Linked DNA regions of Drosophila melanogaster. The protein of the gene in region 3 purifies or fractionates together with the protein of the main gene of each other region. This does not show direct contact. Each region holds a gene or a part of one and is shown on either strand. Other genes may lie near its edges.

Region 1 (6,909 bases), on a different chromosome or scaffold from region 3:
AATTGTATCTCTTCCACTCTCAGGATCTATGGCCACGCAATTTATCAAGATGCATTAACATCTTCCATTAATATCGCCTCGATTATTATGCCTACAATTAAGAGTATTCGGCCGCAGGTATCTACAAACCTAATGGTTTACAATTACCAATTAACAGATTATTCCAGTGACCAAAGTGCCTGATGAAGATGGAACATCAGAGTCAAGACAATGCAATAGTAGAGAGCAAAGCATAATAATTTAATTTAAATTTCCAGCCTGTGCAAATAATGTAAAACATTCCTGCACATTTTAAGTGCTGCTGCAAATTGACTGTCAGTCAGCAAAGCGGCCACAAACATCAGAAACTGCAGCGACAACTGCAACAACTTTTGAACAACTACAGCAACAGCAATAAGAGTTACGAAAACAATAACCACACAATGACAATGCAAGGCAATATTCGCATATTATACAAACAATAAACATTGTTAATTAATTTACTTCAACTCGAGCGGTAACTGCACTTTGGCCCACTCTACCGAAAAGGATGACTGTAAGCTTGTAGAAAGCACAGAGTCACATAAGGAATTATTTGCGAAATTACCAACGCGGCCCACTGTGATTAAAAAATATTAAATCTTGAAACCTCATTAATAAAATATAAGAAACAATGAGAGTGTTTCACAATTTATTCATGTCCACGAAATAACTTTCCAGGACACTCATCGGAGCTCTCATGGAATTCACTTATTAACGCTTATATGATATGGCGCTTACTTCGGGCTTTTGATAACTTGTGGCATATTTCACGAGCAGTCGCTATAATGCCTCATGCAAGCGGTATCATTATAAATAATGACTCTGATTAAATATGATGTAATCCTTTGCCAGGGCTACCGAATCGGGCATTTTTTAAATGTTGCAAACTTAATTAAGCATTTATCATCGTCGGCAGAGGGAAGGGAAGTGCTGGATGAGATAAGGCGATTGGAGGATGGAACAGACAAGTGCATTAATTAACGGGCTGCTGTCCCTGGTAACTGACCATAAAGGATTTGCGTTATTAATTGAACGATTTTCGGATCAATATTCTACAATTCACATTGGGAGCTGCGCACTCTCGGGCCACACCTTCCACATTGCATTATACCTTTTATTTTTAGTAATTTGTTCGTTTGGGCCATTTAAGAATAACTGTCACGTACGTCTGGCATGGCCCGAACACACTTACCATTTCATCAAAGTAAATCGAGCTTGAATTGATTTCGCACACAGAAGCCGTATCAGCCTCCTTTCCACAAAAACTACCTTGGCTTGGCCCTAATGTGTGTCATTTGGCCGGCAGTTATCTTTGGGCCAAATGCACAAAGGAGCGGTAATTTTCCGAACATTTCCTTTTTGGCCAGAAACAAAGGACCACGGCGGTTGTTTTTTTTTTTTTTTTTTTTTTTTGATTCGATTCGATTTTCTTTTCTTGTTAGCTAAGTGAATTTTTATTTGCCATAGCTTTTAGTAATTCTCCATTATATTTATTCGATTGGGGACTTTACTTGGTGGCACATATTTTTTAATATAATTTTATATATACTTCAGTTATTATGTTCATTGCTAATAAAAGTTTATGAAACTGAATGTGTAGAATTTCAAATTTAAATAAGATAAGGCCAAGCGTTGAAATTCATATATCAGCCCCATTTTCAATCAGCAAGCGCAACAAGTTATAACCGAAAAAGCCAAGCTCTTTTAACTCCATTTCTGCATTCATTTCAATTTCATTTGCAAACGGAGCTGAAATAAAACGGCGAAAACTGAGACTCATTTACACATTTATGTGGGAAAATGTCAGCTCCTGAGTAATTTATGCACACAACGGCATTTAAATGCCTTTTATTTCCTCTTTTTTTTCGAAACAAGACCGCTTCAGTTCGTCACTGTTTCGGGTTCACTTTCATTTTTCACTGCGCAATGTTTCTCTGAGTAAGAGAAATGAGCTGTAATGGGTGCCAAAAGCCAACGACAGGGAAAAGGAGACAGGAGGCCACCAGACAATTTATGCGAGCCTTGGGAATTGTTTCGAAAATTGACAAATTATGGTCGTAAGTGCTGCGATTAGTCCGTTCCGTTCCATTCGCCTTTTCGTTTGCTATTTTTGCCAACTGTCCCAAGGTTGTCTTCCCAAAACCACAATGTGCATTACATTTACTCACAGAACAGTTGCAGAAACGGGTTTATGGCATCCATAACATTGCGGGCACTGCGTGTTATTAATAATTCAATTTAGCTGTCTCAGAACAGACGACGGGTCAGAGAACTCTGGAAAGCTTGAAGCACACGCAACTCCTCCTATACCTTCGAATTCCCAATGCCGTGCCCATTTACCGCTCAGCCTTAGCAGTTTTCCCGTTCCATTTCCTCGGATCACAGCTCATTATCTATTCATGCAAAAGCTCATATAGTGGAATAATAAATTGAAATTCGACGGGCACCTGGAAACAACCACAAATACCCATTCGCGCTATTCCAACATCCTAGAATCGTAATAAAAAGTACACGATTTTTAATTGGTTTTTATTTCTAAATTCATCGAATGTTAGGAAAGGATATGCCTGGACTTAACTGCATCAGACTTTTTCCTATCTCAGTATTGCTGGCAAATCCGTCGGCGCTTGTGGCGTTCACTGGTGGTGACCTTGCATGCCTGAAAGGACACCAATGAATAGTCTTCATAACATAAAAAATATACGTACCATCCGGCGGTATCGATCCTTTCTATTCTCCGAGAGCCTGGCCCACGCTTTAGCGGCCTTTGCAATTAATTCCCGCGGTTTCAAGTTACAGTGCTTCTTTCGGAAGGAACGCACAAAATTCAAATAGGCGTTGTTAGTGACAGGTCCCTGCTTGCTGCACTTCTGCCTCGGTGCACACTTGACCTTGGGCCGAGTCGCCTTGGCACAGGCTGCCTTTCGGCGCGGCTTTGCACAGGACTTCATTGGCTTACATTTTTGAGGTGCTCTCCTTATTGGATGATTACACATTTCAGTGAGACCTTTAGGACTTTCATCTTTTGCAGAAATGGAAATTATGCCATTCCACAGGCTCTTGCACTCATTTACATTATTTGAACTCATCGTAGAAAATTTTTACAAACTCTGAAAAGAAAAGGAAAGGGAAGTTTTATATGGGATTTATTTGTTGTGTACGATGTCAGCCATCAACTGTGATGGAGTATGTTCCCCCCGCATGTGAGTGTTGGCCCCAGAAGCCGCAGAGTTGCGTCCTAGAGAAGTCACTTAATCAGTGAGCAACCCGAGTCTCAAACCAGAAGTAAAGCCCAAGCCCTACCGACCAGGATGAAGATCTGAACAGCAGGAGACAAGCGGTTGCAACTGCAACAAAGCCCATAATTAATAACAGTTGCAAGCTGCCTCCCGACAACCGACGTTTAGTCACCATGTGTGGGAGCCTAAGTGGCGGTTCTTAGCCAAGACCAATGAGTATTAAGAACTGGTTATATAATTGTCATGGAAATCTACAGTAGTTTGTAATGAAAATTAGTACCCGACAGCAAATGGGCAGTGGTAAATAATTAATAGAAGGACTCTCCAAGGATAAAAAAGCTAAACCAATATCTGTATAATTCAAGATTACTGAAGTTTCCTCAAATCCGAGCAATTTATTTGCCACCCACAGCTGATATTTTGGGCTTGACAAATATTAATTCGAAATATTAATTTGAAATCGTTATGGATGTGTACAAATTACAATTTGTGACCAGCTGTGCCATCGCACCACACTGCCTGCATTGTCTATCAAACCCCACTGAACACCCAGTTGGAATACAAAATTCGCTTTAGCTAGAGAGCTTCATTGAAGGCCCAATATGCTCCTTTTGGCTCTTCGAACTTAAAATTATCTTGTGGATCAATATAAAAAAAAACAGCACGAGTTGAATGGATATTATTGGGGCTTCGCCGGGAGGAAGTTATCTTCAAAGCTATTTTTCTTCAATGAAAGGAAGCCTTGATTGATTAAGTGCTAAACTAGATTTAAAAGCCAACGAGGGCAGGTAAAACTAAGTAGGAACCGACAGGAGCTGAGGGCGTCGAGTGATTATCATTAGCCGCCAGAGTAGTTGCCATTTAGCACGCACAACGAGATGAGTGCCAGCAACATCAGCAGCAGATGCAACAATGTTTGAGTAATTGTTTGCCGTTGCTGCAGCGTCAACAGCAGCACAAGCAGCAGCACAAGCAGCAGCAACTGCAGATGCAACAAAATTTGCATGCAAGCACAAGTCCCTACTCACCACCCCTTAGCCCAAAACCCCACTCATTGCCCCATTTGGCTGCACACGTAACTGAACGGTGGCAACAACTGCAGCAGTAATTGCAACAAACAATTAGCGTCACTTGGATTTATGTTTACGAGCGGCTGCCTGGACATTTTCGGCCACAATGACAGTGTGCCCCCTGTCTACTGCCCTTTTATGGTTGTCAACGAGCAAAAAGTTGATCAATCAGGACGTGTAATTTATTTACAATTTCACTCTGACAACGAAAGAAAGAACTAAGAGTTTCTCTTCACATTAACTCGATCTTTCTTTCGGCCGAACCGCGTGAACCGCTATGATTTATTTAATTGCCCGCGCTTGCTGCCAGTGTTGTTGCAGCATGTAAATGACGTCATTACAAGGCGTGGGGCGTGGCAAGGTGGTTGCCTGTCGACAGACTACCCCCGGCATTAGTTTAAAGCCAGATAGGAGGGCCACATCCATCCGATATCGAGGCAAACACGCCACGTCGACAGTCGACATTAATTTAATCGCATCACAATGCATTTACAGAACTGAATTTCACAAAAGCTTCTTTAAAAGAAATTTTTGAAAGTAAAATTTTTTCAAATGAAGTTTATCGAAACTGATTGGCATACCAATAAAAAATAATTATGCGCTTCGTTTAAAATAATTTGTATGGTATGTTGTTCTGTAAAAATAAATTGTAATTCGTTTTATTTCACTTACCTTTATAAAGTTTTTTTTTTTAAACCAAATTTTTGTCACAACTAATTTTTAAGAAGAGCATAAAAATAAGACTTTTGGAAAAATTTTGCTTGTGAACTGTTTGTGTACCAAGTTACAACTAATGTTTAAAAAAACCGACTGCCCGGTATAAGGGGTATACGGCAAAACCTACGCCAACTATATGGAATAAAGTTAGATTTGATCGAAACGACGCCGGCGGATACGCATCCTGGGAAACATCCTTCTGTTAGGTGGTTACGCCCCCATGTTTCCCTTTGCCAGTGGCAGTGTGGCAAGTTTTCCTCATAGGTGGCATAAATTATGTGAAACAATTTTTGGGTATTTCGATTGTCTCACAACAGACGCCTGGTCAGAGAACTGTGGAAAAGCTTGAAGCAGAAGCCTATCCATATCTTCGAATTCACCATTGCCGTGCCCATTTACCACTCAGCCGTTTCATTTCTTTGGATCACAGCTCATTAGAAAGCTCATATAGTGGAATAATAAATTGAATTTCGCCGGGCACCTGGAACAACCACAAATACCCATTCGCGCTATTCCAACATCCTAGAATCGTAAAAAAAATGAAACCCGGTTTTTAATTTTTTTTATTTCTAAATTCATCGAATGGTATCAAATCAATGAAAATATATGCCTGGACTTAACTGCATCAGACTTTTTCCTATCTCAGTATTACTTGCAAATCCGTCGGCGCTTGTGGCGTTCACTGGTGGTGACCTTGCATGCCTGAAAGGACAAATTAATAGTCTTCATAATATAAAAAAAAAATACGTACCATCCGGCGGTATCTATCCTTTCTATGCTCCGGGAGCTCGGCCCACGCTTTAGCGGCCTCTGCAATTAATTCCTGCGGCTTCAAGTCACAGTGCTTCTTTCGGAAGAAACGCACGAAATTCAAATAGGCGTTGTTAGTGACAGGTCCCTGCTTGCTGCACTTCTGACTCGGTGCACACTTGACCTTGGGCCGAGTCGCCTTGGCACAGGCTGCCTTTCGGCGCGGCTTTGCACAGGACTTCATTGGCTTACATTTGGGCGGTGCTCTCCTCTTTGGATGATTACACATTTCAGTGAGACCTTTAGGACTTTCATCTTTTGCAGAAATGGAAATTATGCCATTCCACAGGCTCTTGCACTCATTTACATTATTTGAACTCATCGTAGAAAATTTTTACAAACTCTGAAAAGAAAAGGAAAGGGAAGTTTTATATGGGATTTATTTGTTGTGTACGATGTCAGCCATCAACTGTGATGGAGTATGTTCCCCCCGCATGTGAGTGTTGGCCCCAGAAGCCGCAGAGTTGCGTCCTAGAGAAGTCACTTATTCAGTGAGCAATCCGAGTCTCAAACCAAAAGTAAAGCCCAAGCCCTACCGACCAGGATGAAGACCTGAACAGCAGGAGACAAGCGGTTGCAACTGCAACAAAGCCCATAATTAATAACAGTTGCAATCTGATTCCCGACGTTGTTTTGTAACGAACAAAAAGTTGATCAATCAGGACGTGTAATTTATTTACAATTTCACTCTGACAACGAAAGAAAGAACTAAGAGTTTCTCTTTAGATTAACTGGATCTTTCTTTCGGCCGAACCGCGTGAACCGCTATGATTTATTTAATTGCCCGCGCTTGCTGCCAGTGTTGTTGCAGCATGTAAATAACGTCATTACAAGGCGTGGGGCGTGGCAAGGTGGTTGCCTGTCGACAGACTGCCCCGGCATTAGTTTAAAGCCAGATAGGAGGGCCACATCCATCCGACATCGAGACAAACACGCCGGCCGCCAAAAAGGCGTGGCCGCCGAATTTCCGCTTTGACTTGCAACACTTTGGTGCAACACGCCCCATAACCTTGCAGTCGACATTATTTTAATCGCATCTCAATGAATTTTAC
Region 2 (5,742 bases), on a different chromosome or scaffold from region 3:
CCAGCAACAGCAACAAGGAGCAGAGGCAAAATTTGAACAATCTTGAATCTAAGCGAATGTCTAGGCTCCTTTTTCATTTTGAAGCATGGTTGGAAAATGTGATTGCAGATATTGTATATACATATTGTAATAAGACATCTTTTCTATTTGGCGCTATCTGGGTATCCTATACAAAAATAAACAAAAGAAATAAACCCGCTGCATTTTGCAATTACTCGTAGTTTAAATAGTCTTCACTACGATTATCCCGCTTCGTACGACAGCAAATTGAAAATATAATTGTGTTAACCGCATTTCGAGTTCAATCTTATAATTTGTTCGAAGCCTGTTTCTCTGATGATTATTTTCGTATGCTGATTTTATTGAAATAATTAAGCGCGGAAAATGCCGAAGGTGCGCAATTCATTGATGACCCAAAAGTGACACTTGCACATTCATTTGTAGCACTTTTATTCGAATTTTTTTTTTATTTTTTTTATTTCGGGTGTGTGTGTGTGCGTTGCGCGTTGGATTTAAATTGCATTCTGTTCGAAACTGTCCGATGGCCAATGCCTGCTTGCAATAAATTCGCTTAATGAAGTTTTAAAAAATACCAACTGCTTGTGGGCGTTGTCAGCGCGATCCGCGTGTTATGCAGGAAATGCATTTAATGTAATTATTTCTTTAATTAAAATATTTAGCGCAACAGCAGGAGCAACAACAACAATGTCGCGGGGGCACCGACGTTAACAATTTGCACAAAAGTCACGTCGTTGCTTTTATTATTGTTAATGTTGTTATAATTCCTCGAATCGGCCATTCGGCTTAATTGAAACCATTAAAAATACCGTTGCAATCGGCAAAACGTTGCATACTTCAGGGGGCCACGTGATTAAAAACGTATTCCATGATGAAACATATGCATAAAGATTTCATATTTAAGCCCTATTAAGCCAAAATATCAAAAGCTGCCTATTGCATAAAATCAGTCATCAAGTAATTTCCTGGCCAGTTAAATGCAACTACTTGAAAATTCCATTTAGAATTTCAATTGCATTCTGCTAAATATGGGGACTCCCTCCCCCAAACAATATCCCCATTCATTTCTCCAGTTGGACGAGTGCCAGGCAAAGGTTAATTTACTTGAAAAATTCCGGAATGCTTATTCTTAACAAATATGCGAGCAATTGCTTAGCTTACTTTTCAGAGGAATTGAATTGGCTTTGGGTACAAAAGAACGAAGGATGGAACGAAATGCCAATGTGGCACTAACAACTGCGCTGATTTATCTGCACAAATTGCCAACTGAAATTAATAAGAGAAATCAGTTTACCATTTCCTGTCGACGACTACAACAAGGAGTTTGAGGACGACAAAAATACTAGAAAAATGCCAACTAATAGTCTATTGTCGATGCCGTTTCTAGGGATTCTCGAGAATGGGTAGTGGAAATGAAGAGACATTCCAATAACTGTACAACATCCGGTTGCATACACACATACACACACATATAATTCCAAACACAATGGCAAAATCGTTTCCATTTTCAATGGAAAATATTTCTATTTCAACATGAAAATATTTTTAGCAGCCTTTTGTGTGGGATATCTAAACGACTCTTCACCTGACGACGACCAGATAAAAATTTCTGCTTCGGCAAAGAAAACTGATAAAAAGTAAAAAAAAATAGTACCAAAACCAAGAAAAATTCAATCTTAATCCAGTCGCTCGGCAGGATATTTTTTATAGACAGAAAAGTAACTAACAAGAGTAGGGCAACGACAAAAAAAAAAAGACCAAATGGATGCTGTGCACTTAGACCTTAGGTATGGCTTTGCTGAATGGAACCAGTGACGTATGCACTTGACTTGCACATTTGCGGTGGCAGAAAGCCTCTGGAACTCAATTCGAGCCACATCGCCAGCCAAATCCAAAGAAAAATAGTTATTGTTAGAGCCACGAGGACAGCGCCAACGACGAAGGCAGTAAGTAGCTTTATTATGGGATTTTAAGTTATTACACCGGCAACCCGATGGCAAACGGGGCATTCGGGGAGCAGGAAAACAGCATCCAGCAGCGATGATAATCTGGGCGTCATTGCGAGCACTCACATATGCGACTCCTTGCACTTGATTCGAGGACTTAGCCCATGTGATGACGTGATGCCCTTTGGCCTATAGCCAAATTTGTCAACATGATTTGGATGAAAATCATTTCGTTTTCCGTCGCTCACGTTTTGCGACTTATTTATTGCTATTTGGGCTGCTGTGATTGATTGGATTTTTAAATTTAAAGCTGATTTTTATAAATAGGTACCACTTTCGACCATATAAAGTATATATATTCTTGATCAGGATCAACTGCCGAGTCGAACTGGACATGACTGTCTCAGGAACTGTAAAAGCTAGAAGGTTGAGATACATGCATACGTACATGCTCTAGAGACATAGACACATATATATATTTCATATTATTATTAGTCTTATGCATTTCTACTTAAAAACTTTTTGCCACGCCCACTCTAAAAATGTTTACCCTAAAATATCTTAATACAAAAATAATTGCCTTGTTTCGCTACCCGAATGTCCCCATCATTGCGAGCTAAATGTCAACCTCTTGACAGTTTGTTTCATAAGATGCGGACACTGATACTTTTATGTGTGCCCTTACTTTGACCCAGTTAATAATTCAGTAGCGTAGCATCAGGCTACAATGAGTGTCCTACCCGCCCCTGGGTACATCAGTTTGGGTGTCAGTATTTGACACTGAGGCTAATTTAATGGAAAATGAGAACGGAGAACTTGAAATTTGTATTTATCGCGACACGCAATGGAAGCGTTTTCGCCGCGAGGCGGAAGTAACAAAATATAGTACACAGGACCCGACTCATGTGGTTCATATTTTAGCTGACATATCTATTTATATGCAAATGCCACACCTCCTCAGTCACCTGGACTTTGTCTACTCTCCCTGTGTGCGTGCCAAAGTCAAAGCCGAGGAATTTCCCTTTGTTGTTTTGGCATTCCTGCAACAATAAATCACGGCACCTATGCTAAAGGCGCGAGGAACAGCGGGGTAAAAACTAATAAATCTAAGGCCAATTAATTGACTTAACTGGTGCTGGAAAAGGCAGAGACCAAAGATGAACCGACGGAAAAGGAAGCGGCAAAGCCAACGGCAGAGGCAAAGCCAAAGGCAAAGACTCCAAAGGGTCGCAATTTATGGCCGCACCATCAACTTGAGCCCGCACATAATAAATCATAACATTTTACAGATAATAGAAAACCTCACACATGTCCAAACAATCGGAATCCCCAAGACGTTTCGCCCAAAATTTCTTAGCCACACCGAGTTTGTTAGCCCGGCGGCTAGAAATTTTAATAAGCCGCATAGAGTTTGGCACGAGCAATAGTGGGTATAAAAATTGTTTCACATAATTTATGCCACCTATGAGGAAAACTTGCCACACTGCCACTGGCAAATGGAAACATGGGGGCGTAACCACCTAACAGAAGGATGTTTCCCAGGATGCGTATCCGCCGGCGTCGTTTCGATCAAATCTAACTTTATTCCATATAGTTGGCGTAGGTTTTGCCGTATACCCCTTATACCGGGCAGTCGGTTTTTTTAAACATTAGTTGTAACTTGGTACACAAACAGTTCACAAGCAAAATTTTTCCAAAAATTTATAGTCTTATTTTTATGATCTTCTTAAAAATTAGTTGTGACAAAAATTTGGTTTTTATAAAAAACTTCATAAGGGTAAGTGAAATAAAACGAATTACGATTTATTTTTACAAAATAACATACCAACAAATCAATTGTTTAAAACGAAGCGCATAATTACTTTCTATTGGTATGCTAATCAGTTTCGATAAACTTCATTTGAAAAAAAATTTTACTTTTATAATTCTCTTTTAAAGAAGCTTTTGTGAAATTCAGTTCTGTAAAATTCATTGAGATGCGATTAAAATAATGTCGACTGCAAGGTTATGGGGCGTGTTGCACCAAAGTGTTGCAAGTCAAAGCGGAAATTCGGCGGCCACGCCTTTTTGGCGGCCGGCGTGTTTGTCTCGATGTCGGATGGATGTGGCCCTCCTATCTGGCTTTAAACTAATGCCGGGGCAGTCTGTCGACAGGCAACCACCTTGCCACGCCCCACGCCTTGTAATGACGTTATTTACATGCTGCAACAACACTGGCAGCAAGCGCGGGCAATTAAATAAATCATAGCGGTTCACGCGGTTCGGCCGAAAGAAAGATCCAGTTAATCTAAAGAGAAACTCTTAGTTCTTTCTTTCGTTGTCAGAGTGAAATTGTAAATAAATTACACGTCCTGATTGATCAACTTTTTGTTCGTTACAAAACAACGTCGGGAATCAGATTGCAACTGTTATTAATTATGGGCTTTGTTGCAGTTGCAACCGCTTGTCTCCTGCTGTTCAGGTCTTCATCCTGGTCGGTAGGGCTTGGGCTTTACTTTTGGTTTGAGACTCGGATTGCTCACTGAATAAGTGACTTCTCTAGGACGCAACTCTGCGGCTTCTGGGGCCAACACTCACATGCGGGGGGAACATACTCCATCACAGTTGATGGCTGACATCGTACACAACAAATAAATCCCATATAAAACTTCCCTTTCCTTTTCTTTTCAGAGTTTGTAAAAATTTTCTACGATGAGTTCAAATAATGTAAATGAGTGCAAGAGCCTGTGGAATGGCATAATTTCCATTTCTGCAAAAGATGAAAGTCCTAAAGGTCTCACTGAAATGTGTAATCATCCAAAGAGGAGAGCACCGCCCAAATGTAAGCCAATGAAGTCCTGTGCAAAGCCGCGCCGAAAGGCAGCCTGTGCCAAGGCGACTCGGCCCAAGGTCAAGTGTGCACCGAGTCAGAAGTGCAGCAAGCAGGGACCTGTCACTAACAACGCCTATTTGAATTTCGTGCGTTTCTTCCGAAAGAAGCACTGTGACTTGAAGCCGCAGGAATTAATTGCAGAGGCCGCTAAAGCGTGGGCCGAGCTCCCGGAGCATAGAAAGGATAGATACCGCCGGATGGTACGTATTTTTTTTTTATATTATGAAGACTATTAATTTGTCCTTTCAGGCATGCAAGGTCACCACCAGTGAACGCCACAAGCGCCGACGGATTTGCAAGTAATACTGAGATAGGAAAAAGTCTGATGCAGTTAAGTCCAGGCATATATTTTCATTGATTTGATACCATTCGATGAATTTAGAAATAAAAAAAATTAAAAACCGGGTTTCATTTTTTTTACGATTCTAGGATGTTGGAATAGCGCGAATGGGTATTTGTGGTTGTTCCAGGTGCCCGGCGAAATTCAATTTATTATTCCACTATATGAGCTTTCTAATGAGCTGTGATCCAAAGAAATGAAACGGCTGAGTGGTAAATGGGCACGGCAATGGTGAATTCGAAGATATGGATAGGCTTCTGCTTCAAGCTTTTCCACAGTTCTCTGACCAGGCGTCTGTTGTGAGACAATCGAAATACCCAAAAATTGTTTCACATAATTTATGCCACCTATGAGGAAAACTTGCCACACTGCCACTGGCAAAGGGAAACATGGGGGCGTAACCACCTAACAGAAGGATGTTTCCCAGGATGCGTATCCGCCGGCGTCGTTTCGATCAAATCTAACTTTATTCCATATAGTTGGCGTAGGTTTTGCCGTATACCCCTTATACCGGGCAGTCGGTTTTTTTAAACATTAGTTGTAACTTGGTACACAAACAGTTCACA
Region 3 (7,008 bases):
ATCAGTCACTTGACCAGTAATGCAAAAGATCAAGAACACGAGAGTTTAATAATTGTATGTAACTATAAATAAATACCAAATCGATATATTTATTGACAATTTAATTAAGCCACAAACAAGAAAGTTATTCATTTACCTTTGAGACAAAAGTAAACAAGGTCGGTCTATATATACAGATATATAAATTTAAATAAATATATTTAGTAAAGGGAGAACAACAAATTGCTACAAACATACATACATATGTACTATATTTTTCTCGTAAATAATTATTAATCGAATACTCATACGGTAGCGACTATAATTTACCTCCTCGATGTCGCTCAACTTTCGAATCAGCAGAGATCGCAGAACTAAATAACTAATGAAAGCAGCATTCAAGTAATAGCAACATTCGATCATATAGTACAGCATAGTGTTAACCGCATTATATCGAATAAACTTTTTCATATTTTCAATACTAAATGGAATAGAATGGAACGGAAATGGAATCAAACATAATTCATATTTTTCTAAAGCTCATACACCTCTTTGCTCCACACACACCCACATAACTCATAAAATCGCAAGTCGCACCACTACTAAAATTACTTTAATAGCAGTTAAAACATTTATAAGTGAAATCCATAAAGAGCTATAACAACGGTAATGTGAATTACTTCGAATCAAATGTCCAAGGACATTCAGACACACGATTTTTTGTGAGTGGCGAATACCAAACTTTGGGATTTTAAGAGGAGCTGGAGGAAAGACGAGATGGCCAGTGGAACCAAGAGTATAGGTTAGACAAAGTTTAGACATTGTATCTAATCTAATTTGTAGCCTAATTATAAATGCTTTGGTTGTCCCATGCAACAGATCAGATTTGTTTAACTATTTATATACTTACCTATATTAACGTATGTGGAAATATAATTCTCCTCAATTCTTGAGCTCCTTTCCTCTCTCTAATGACCACATGGATGAAGTGTAGCTAATGGCCCATGGAAAATTTTTAAAATGAGTTTGAGGCGAGCCACGGAAGCTAACTAAGCTCGAACATGATGAATGAATTTGAATCGTTGAATTAAAAATTTAAAATAATATATAAAACATAAAAATAATGATATAAAAAACTGAAGTAAACCAAAATGTTTGTATGTAAAAGAAACTCAAAACGTTAGAGATCATCTACAATTTAAATAAATATAAATAAAACCAAGCAAGTTTGTTGTTTCTGAATGAAAAGATAGACCCATCTACTGGGTCCGAAAATACATCACTGGCGACGGCAGTCCACGTAGTGACGAAGCGCGCTAGGACAGATTGCATGGCACGACTTTCAAACAATTTTAAGAATCAGGAGGAAAAGTGGTGAAAAAGTAAAGGGGAAAATTAAAAAATTTGGTGCCACTTATTAGTCACGGAAAAGTAAAAAATCTGTTTTCGTCGCAATTTTGCTTGAAAATATTTAGCTGTCTGGTAATAAATGTCTTTTCACAAAGTCCTTCCAAAAAATACGTCCCCGTGCAAATTCATGGAAACTTAACTTGGGACCAGGTAGAACAACCCTCTTGAAGCATTTTTAATTTGAGGATTTCGTGGTACAGTTGACCAGTACAGTCACATAACTTATCAGATGACTTTTGTCACAGGTAGAAGAATCGTGTATGTTGATATAGGAACTACTGAAACTGTACAAACTGCAAATTACTACTGCATTTTGACTGCAATTTTCGTTTTAAAGATCCCGAAGCCAAAGCAATACAATTACCTCTAAACCTTGTGTTGCGTTTTATTGTGGAATATATTAGGAAGAATTTTGGCTATTTTTTACAATTTTGTATGGGGTATCCCCAAAGATCCCAAAAATCTTAATCTTATGAACATAAATCTGTTAAGTCTAATCTATTGCATTGTCTACTCTAAAAGTTTCTTTTTTGATTTGGGCGTGGATATGGTTCGCAAGGACACGCGACGTGGCGTCTTGTTATTCGGCGTGGATGGCCCCGATTCAGTCGGATTTTTTGGCGTTTCCTCTTGCGTATCCTCGTAGACCAGACGAATGTCCTCAGTTCGCTCGCAGGTGGCCTCGCTGGCCTCTATTACCGCTGGTTTCGTTTCGGTCTTTACAGTCTCCGGCAAGGGTTTTCGAGAATCCTTCTTTGTCGCTGGCAGGGGTGTGATGCTCTCGTCGAGGGGCCAGGCATCCATGGCCTCCTCCATTGGGACCACAGGCGAGTTCACCGGCATTTCGATGAGTACGCGTGGAGTTCTCCTCACTGCAATGGGAGTAGCTTGCTTGGCGGGTTGGCTTTTCGGCGTTAGATTAAATTGGCTGGAGCTGCCAGGAGTTCGTGGCTGGCGACGCACTTGAATTGGTGTTGCGGGTCGGGACTTCTTCTCAGGCGATTCGAACTTATCATCAGAACTGATGATCTCCTTCTCGAACACCGGAATCACTGCAAGTGCCGGCTGTGATGTCTCTGCTGGAGGCACTGCCTCTGTGCTCACCTTGCGCTTGACAGGTGATGCCACTGTTTTCTGCACTTGAGTCGTTTTTGTGTGAGTAACTTCCATTTCGTCTTTGGGCTTGCTCGATTCGCTATTCCCCTTATCCTCGGGCTTACGCGGAGCTCTGCGTATAGCAATCGGCATGGGTGCAGTCGAATTTTTACGGGGCGAACGCCTGATGGCGATGGGAGTGGGTTTCTCCTCTTCGCTAGCTTTTGTTTTGGGACTGTTCGTTTTATTCGAACTGACACTGTGCGTTGATGAATCGTTTTCAGCATCCAACTCGGGTTCCCCTACCTCTGTGATACCTGCTTCGGACGCCCTTCTAATTGTATTTGGTTTCGATTTTTCCTGCAGTGGTTTCCGTGGTTCATCCAACGATACCTTGCGCAGCTTTTGCCTCTTCTTTTTCAACACCGTTGCATTCTCTGAAGATTTTAGAACAACGCTCAGCACTGTTTCCATATCTTCATAGCAGTCGCCCAGCTCGGTTGGCTCGAAGGTAATCAGTGAGCAGTAGCCATCGGTGCTGGACACGATCAGGACGGTGCCGTCGCTCGACCAGGCCAAATCCGTAAGCCTGCTATAGTGAATGTTGGACACAATGGCAAACGGCACCGGCTGCTGGGTGTCGTAGAAAAACACAGCGTTCTTTGTGGCCACAGCATAGATCATGCGGTACGGCAGCGAAATAATCGGAGGATTCTTCTCCGCATTGTACGGTCGCAGACGGTACAGTACCGGAGAGCAGCGAACAGCCACCGCATATTCCTTGGGAAAGGGCAGCACAAAGGCGGGTTTGGACAAATCATGGCGACTAAACCCATAGCTGGTGTTTATGGGTTTCACAACACCATCGTAGTCGGTAATTCCTGACGGCGTTAACAGCAGCTTACCATCGGGTGTGAAGCATAAGCGGCGAAAGAAGGTCTGCAAGGTTCCATCTTGGTACAATCGCATGCTCTTGCCGTGCATCTCGTGGTCCTCTTTTACTGGGAGTACACATTTGCTGACTCGGTGCAGAACTCGCTTGGTATTGGCATCAAATATCCGCATTTGTCTAAAAGAAATTTAACTCCATTCGATTAAAGTTCGAACATTTTGGACTGTACTGCTTACCTATCGGTGCTCATGGTGGCGATGTATTGATTGCAGGGATCCCATGCCACGCCCTGTACATAGCCCTTGTGGTCATCTAGAATAGCCAGTGATTTGCCACTGTGCACATCCCAGAGCATCGCTGTGTTATCCACGGATCCGCTGACCAGAAACTGTGAGTTCGGCGCCCAGCTGAGATCGTAGATATCCTCGCGATGGCCGCGCAGTACCTTGAGAGTCAACCAGACCTCCTTGTCCTGTTCACTGCAGCCATCGGCGTCCACAATGTTGACAACTTCGTGGTCGGCCTTCTGTTTCCATATAAAGACAACACTCTCGTCATCGCCGGATGCCAGCAGTTCTCCGTTCGGTGACCAGCGGACAGCGTTGACGGCACGCTGATGCCGGGACAGGTCGGCGGCCAGCTCCACATCCACGCCCTCGGCGTCATCACTTCGGTTAACATACCAAATGAGGACATGGGCATCCGAACCACCAGAGGCTAGGCGGCATATCGTCGGAGAACGCAGCCCCAGGCCATTTTGCTGTATATCCACACTCAGGACAGGATCGCGGTTGTGCCACGAAATCTCGGGTATCTTGCACTTCATCCTGTTTACTTAATGTGCCGCTGTTGATTAGTTGAAGTGCGAAGAGAAAAATCACTTTATGCGGCAGAATTCGCGCCTAAAAGTGTGACCTTCGGTCACGGGAATACCAAATAGTGCTGTTTTCGATTTCTGTTATCGTTAATGGACCGATTGCATATCGAAACGAGGGCTGCACAATCACTTTTAAAATGGTAAACAAAAGTTGGAATATCTGATTTCTTACAGTTTTAACCGATTTTGTTGTGTTGTTTGCAGTCTGTAACGCTGCACACCGACGTGGGTGACCTCAAAATAGAGCTCTTCTGCGATGCCTGCCCCAAGGCCTGCGAAAATTTCCTCGCCCTGTGTGCGAGCGACTATTACAGCGGCTGCGTCTTCATCCGAAACATCAAGGGATTTATTGTCCAAACTGGAGATCCTACGAACACCGGAAAGAATGGACAGTCCATTTGGGGCCAGAAGTTCGACGACGAATTCAAGGAGACCATTAAGGTGAGCCGGCTACCTAGGTTTTACCAGAAAAACCCTCATTCAGTTGCGCCATGACAGCTGGCTTTAATACCCAGCATTCCGGCTTTAAAGGGTATATTGTATCTAATCTTAGAATGTAACCAGCACATGAATCTCAAAATGTATGTTGACATCCATATCATTTTACATTTTAATATGTCATGTGGTTGGGTTCGTTTTTCAGTCTAAAAGATTCCCAAGATACAAGAAGAAATCCTTTAATTCTTGACCACTTAATTCTTCAGCACACTGATCGAGGAATGGTTTCCATGGCCAACAACGGACCGAACGCCAATGCCAGCCAGTTCTTCATTACCTATGCCGCCCAGCCAAATCTTGACTTGAAGTACACGCTCTTTGGCCGTGTGATCGATGGATTCGATGCCCTGGATGAACTGGAGAAACTGCCCGTCAATCCCAAGAACTATCGTCCCCATGTGGACAAGAAGATCAATGGAGTAACTATACATGCCAATCCTTTGGCGACGTGATAGAGATAGAGACAAAGGCCAATCGTACGCTTAAAATGAAATATATTTATAGCACTTAAGGTTACGCGATTTCTTCGATTACAGACTAATTGATTGAGAAACATCAAATATTGTGCAAAAGTATCTAAAGACTAAATCTTAAAACCAGCCAAGTCACAATTGTTTATAAAAAATTGCATTGTTTATGTATAACTCTCACGACGACTTTTGCACTTCATTTCGAACTAGACGGATGTATCAGATGTGTTTAAAACGACCAACTAGGGGGGTAAAAACAAATGCTAACAAGAATCTCGACTACATGGACTAAACGGGATTATGTGGATTTGCCGTTTGTGAGTGATTTGGCGGGCTTCGGATGGTCCTTCATGTGCTGCTCGAACATGCTGCGAATGTCTGACAGAGCCTGCGATATGTTCTGAGCGAAGCGGTGCACATCCTGTAAAGAAAACAATTCGATTAGCTGTGCTCCATGCCATGAATCAGGGCTCCTCATTACCGTTTGCTGGCACGTAGTCTTCGCTGAGATATGGAAGAATATCAGGTTCTCTCCGGCAATAATGTACGACACACCGTAACCATCATCGGCCACGGGCCCAAAGCCGCCTCCAGCGCTGATGCAGTTCGGATGCTTCTTCAGGTCCATCTTGGGCGTCTGGCCGTGCGGAGTCTGACTAGTAGAGAGGCGCCAGGGTTCGCTGAGCACCTCGTTGAGGAAGGGTGAATCCACCTCCAGGTACTTGGAGACCACATACAGGCAGAACAGATGCCTGTCGATGCCACGACCGCACATGGCATCCTGGTAGCCCAACTGGTGACGATCGCAGGCAGCCTGCATCATCTTCACACGCTCATCGTTCTGTACAGCATGGATATATGGATTAGCCTTTGATCTAATTACATAAAATTGTAAAATCTTACGGTTGTATTTGGGTTCTGCATGGCCTTGACCCAGGCGGATGACTCAATGGTGCACGGACGCACTGTCTCAGTTCTTCCTTCGCGGAACAGACGGGTCATTGAAGCCTCATATGTCAACGAGAAGCGACCGGCATCTCGGTAGTAGGCCAACTGCAGGGCCATTTGTATGTAGGCATCTGGTGAGATGCGGCACTTCTTCATAAAGCCCTTGCCGTAATCCTGGTGCACCAGGATGCGCAGATTGACCTCGTTGATAAGCTTCGTCACATCGATGGTGGCCTCTTCGATCTGCGCCAGGCATGGTTTAAGATCCCAAGTGAGCCTAGTGGGCGTGGGTGGCTGGAACGCCGGGGTGCCCTTTGTATTACCCGTTTCGTCATATCTACAGGGTTACCAAGGGAATAGGTTAGCATTGTGGGGAGACGGTTTGTGGGCAAATTTATGGCAAGCAACGTAAATCAAAGTATTGTTAATTTTGTGTAATTGTTGTTAGTCACGAAAACAAAATAAACTAAATGTTTACTTTTGGGTTGATTACAATTTGTAAATACAGTAAATAAAGACAGTAAGGAAAGTAAGGAAAAACAACTGAAATGGCCAACATAAGCTTATATAAAATATGCTGCGTACTGATCAAACTATTCCTCATGTAATAAATTAATAATCCCTTAAAACGTGTCTGGCATTCGCATACTAGATTTTGTATGTTTCAAGTTCGTTATGCTAGTATTTACTGTATGGCGAGATCATTAAAGCTTTTAGCGCCTAGTGATCTCTCGTACTCAACCCAAAAATGACTTGAATAACTTTGCTTTGTGCTTGTGTGCATTGTAGTTAAGTGTTTACCCATAAATATCATCACCAAATATATACTCCCACAGGTG

The links.
Region 1: the proteins of Caf1-105 (region 3) and ProtA purify together in Drosophila melanogaster (affinity purification with western blotting; one study listed by BioGRID). This does not show direct contact.
Region 2: the proteins of Caf1-105 (region 3) and ProtB purify together in Drosophila melanogaster (affinity purification with western blotting; one study listed by BioGRID). This does not show direct contact.

Annotation. Positions count from the first base shown.
Region 1 is NT_033779.5:14,876,509-14,883,417, forward strand, and holds ProtA (protamine A), read right to left. Parts: upstream 5,145-6,909; 5' UTR 5,003-5,144; intron 3,132-5,002; 5' UTR 3,111-3,131; coding exon 2,730-3,110; intron 2,681-2,729; coding exon 2,621-2,680; 3' UTR 2,542-2,620; downstream 1-2,541. Other genes in the region: ProtB (protamine B), read right to left, coding at 5,696-5,749, 5,799-6,179.
Region 2 is NT_033779.5:14,881,601-14,887,342, reverse strand, and holds ProtB (protamine B), read left to right. Parts: upstream 1-3,621; 5' UTR 3,622-3,741; intron 3,742-4,634; 5' UTR 4,635-4,655; coding exon 4,656-5,036; intron 5,037-5,085; coding exon 5,086-5,139; 3' UTR 5,140-5,242; downstream 5,243-5,742.
Region 3 is NT_033778.4:10,464,244-10,471,251, forward strand, and holds Caf1-105 (chromatin assembly factor 1, p105 subunit), read right to left. Parts: upstream 4,298-7,008; 5' UTR 4,203-4,297; coding exon 3,613-4,202; intron 3,554-3,612; coding exon 1,900-3,553; 3' UTR 1,758-1,899; downstream 1-1,757. Other genes in the region: CG11777 (uncharacterized protein), read left to right, coding at 4,391-4,393, 4,458-4,694, 4,958-5,203; whd (withered), read right to left, coding at 5,520-5,642, 5,703-6,062, 6,125-6,506.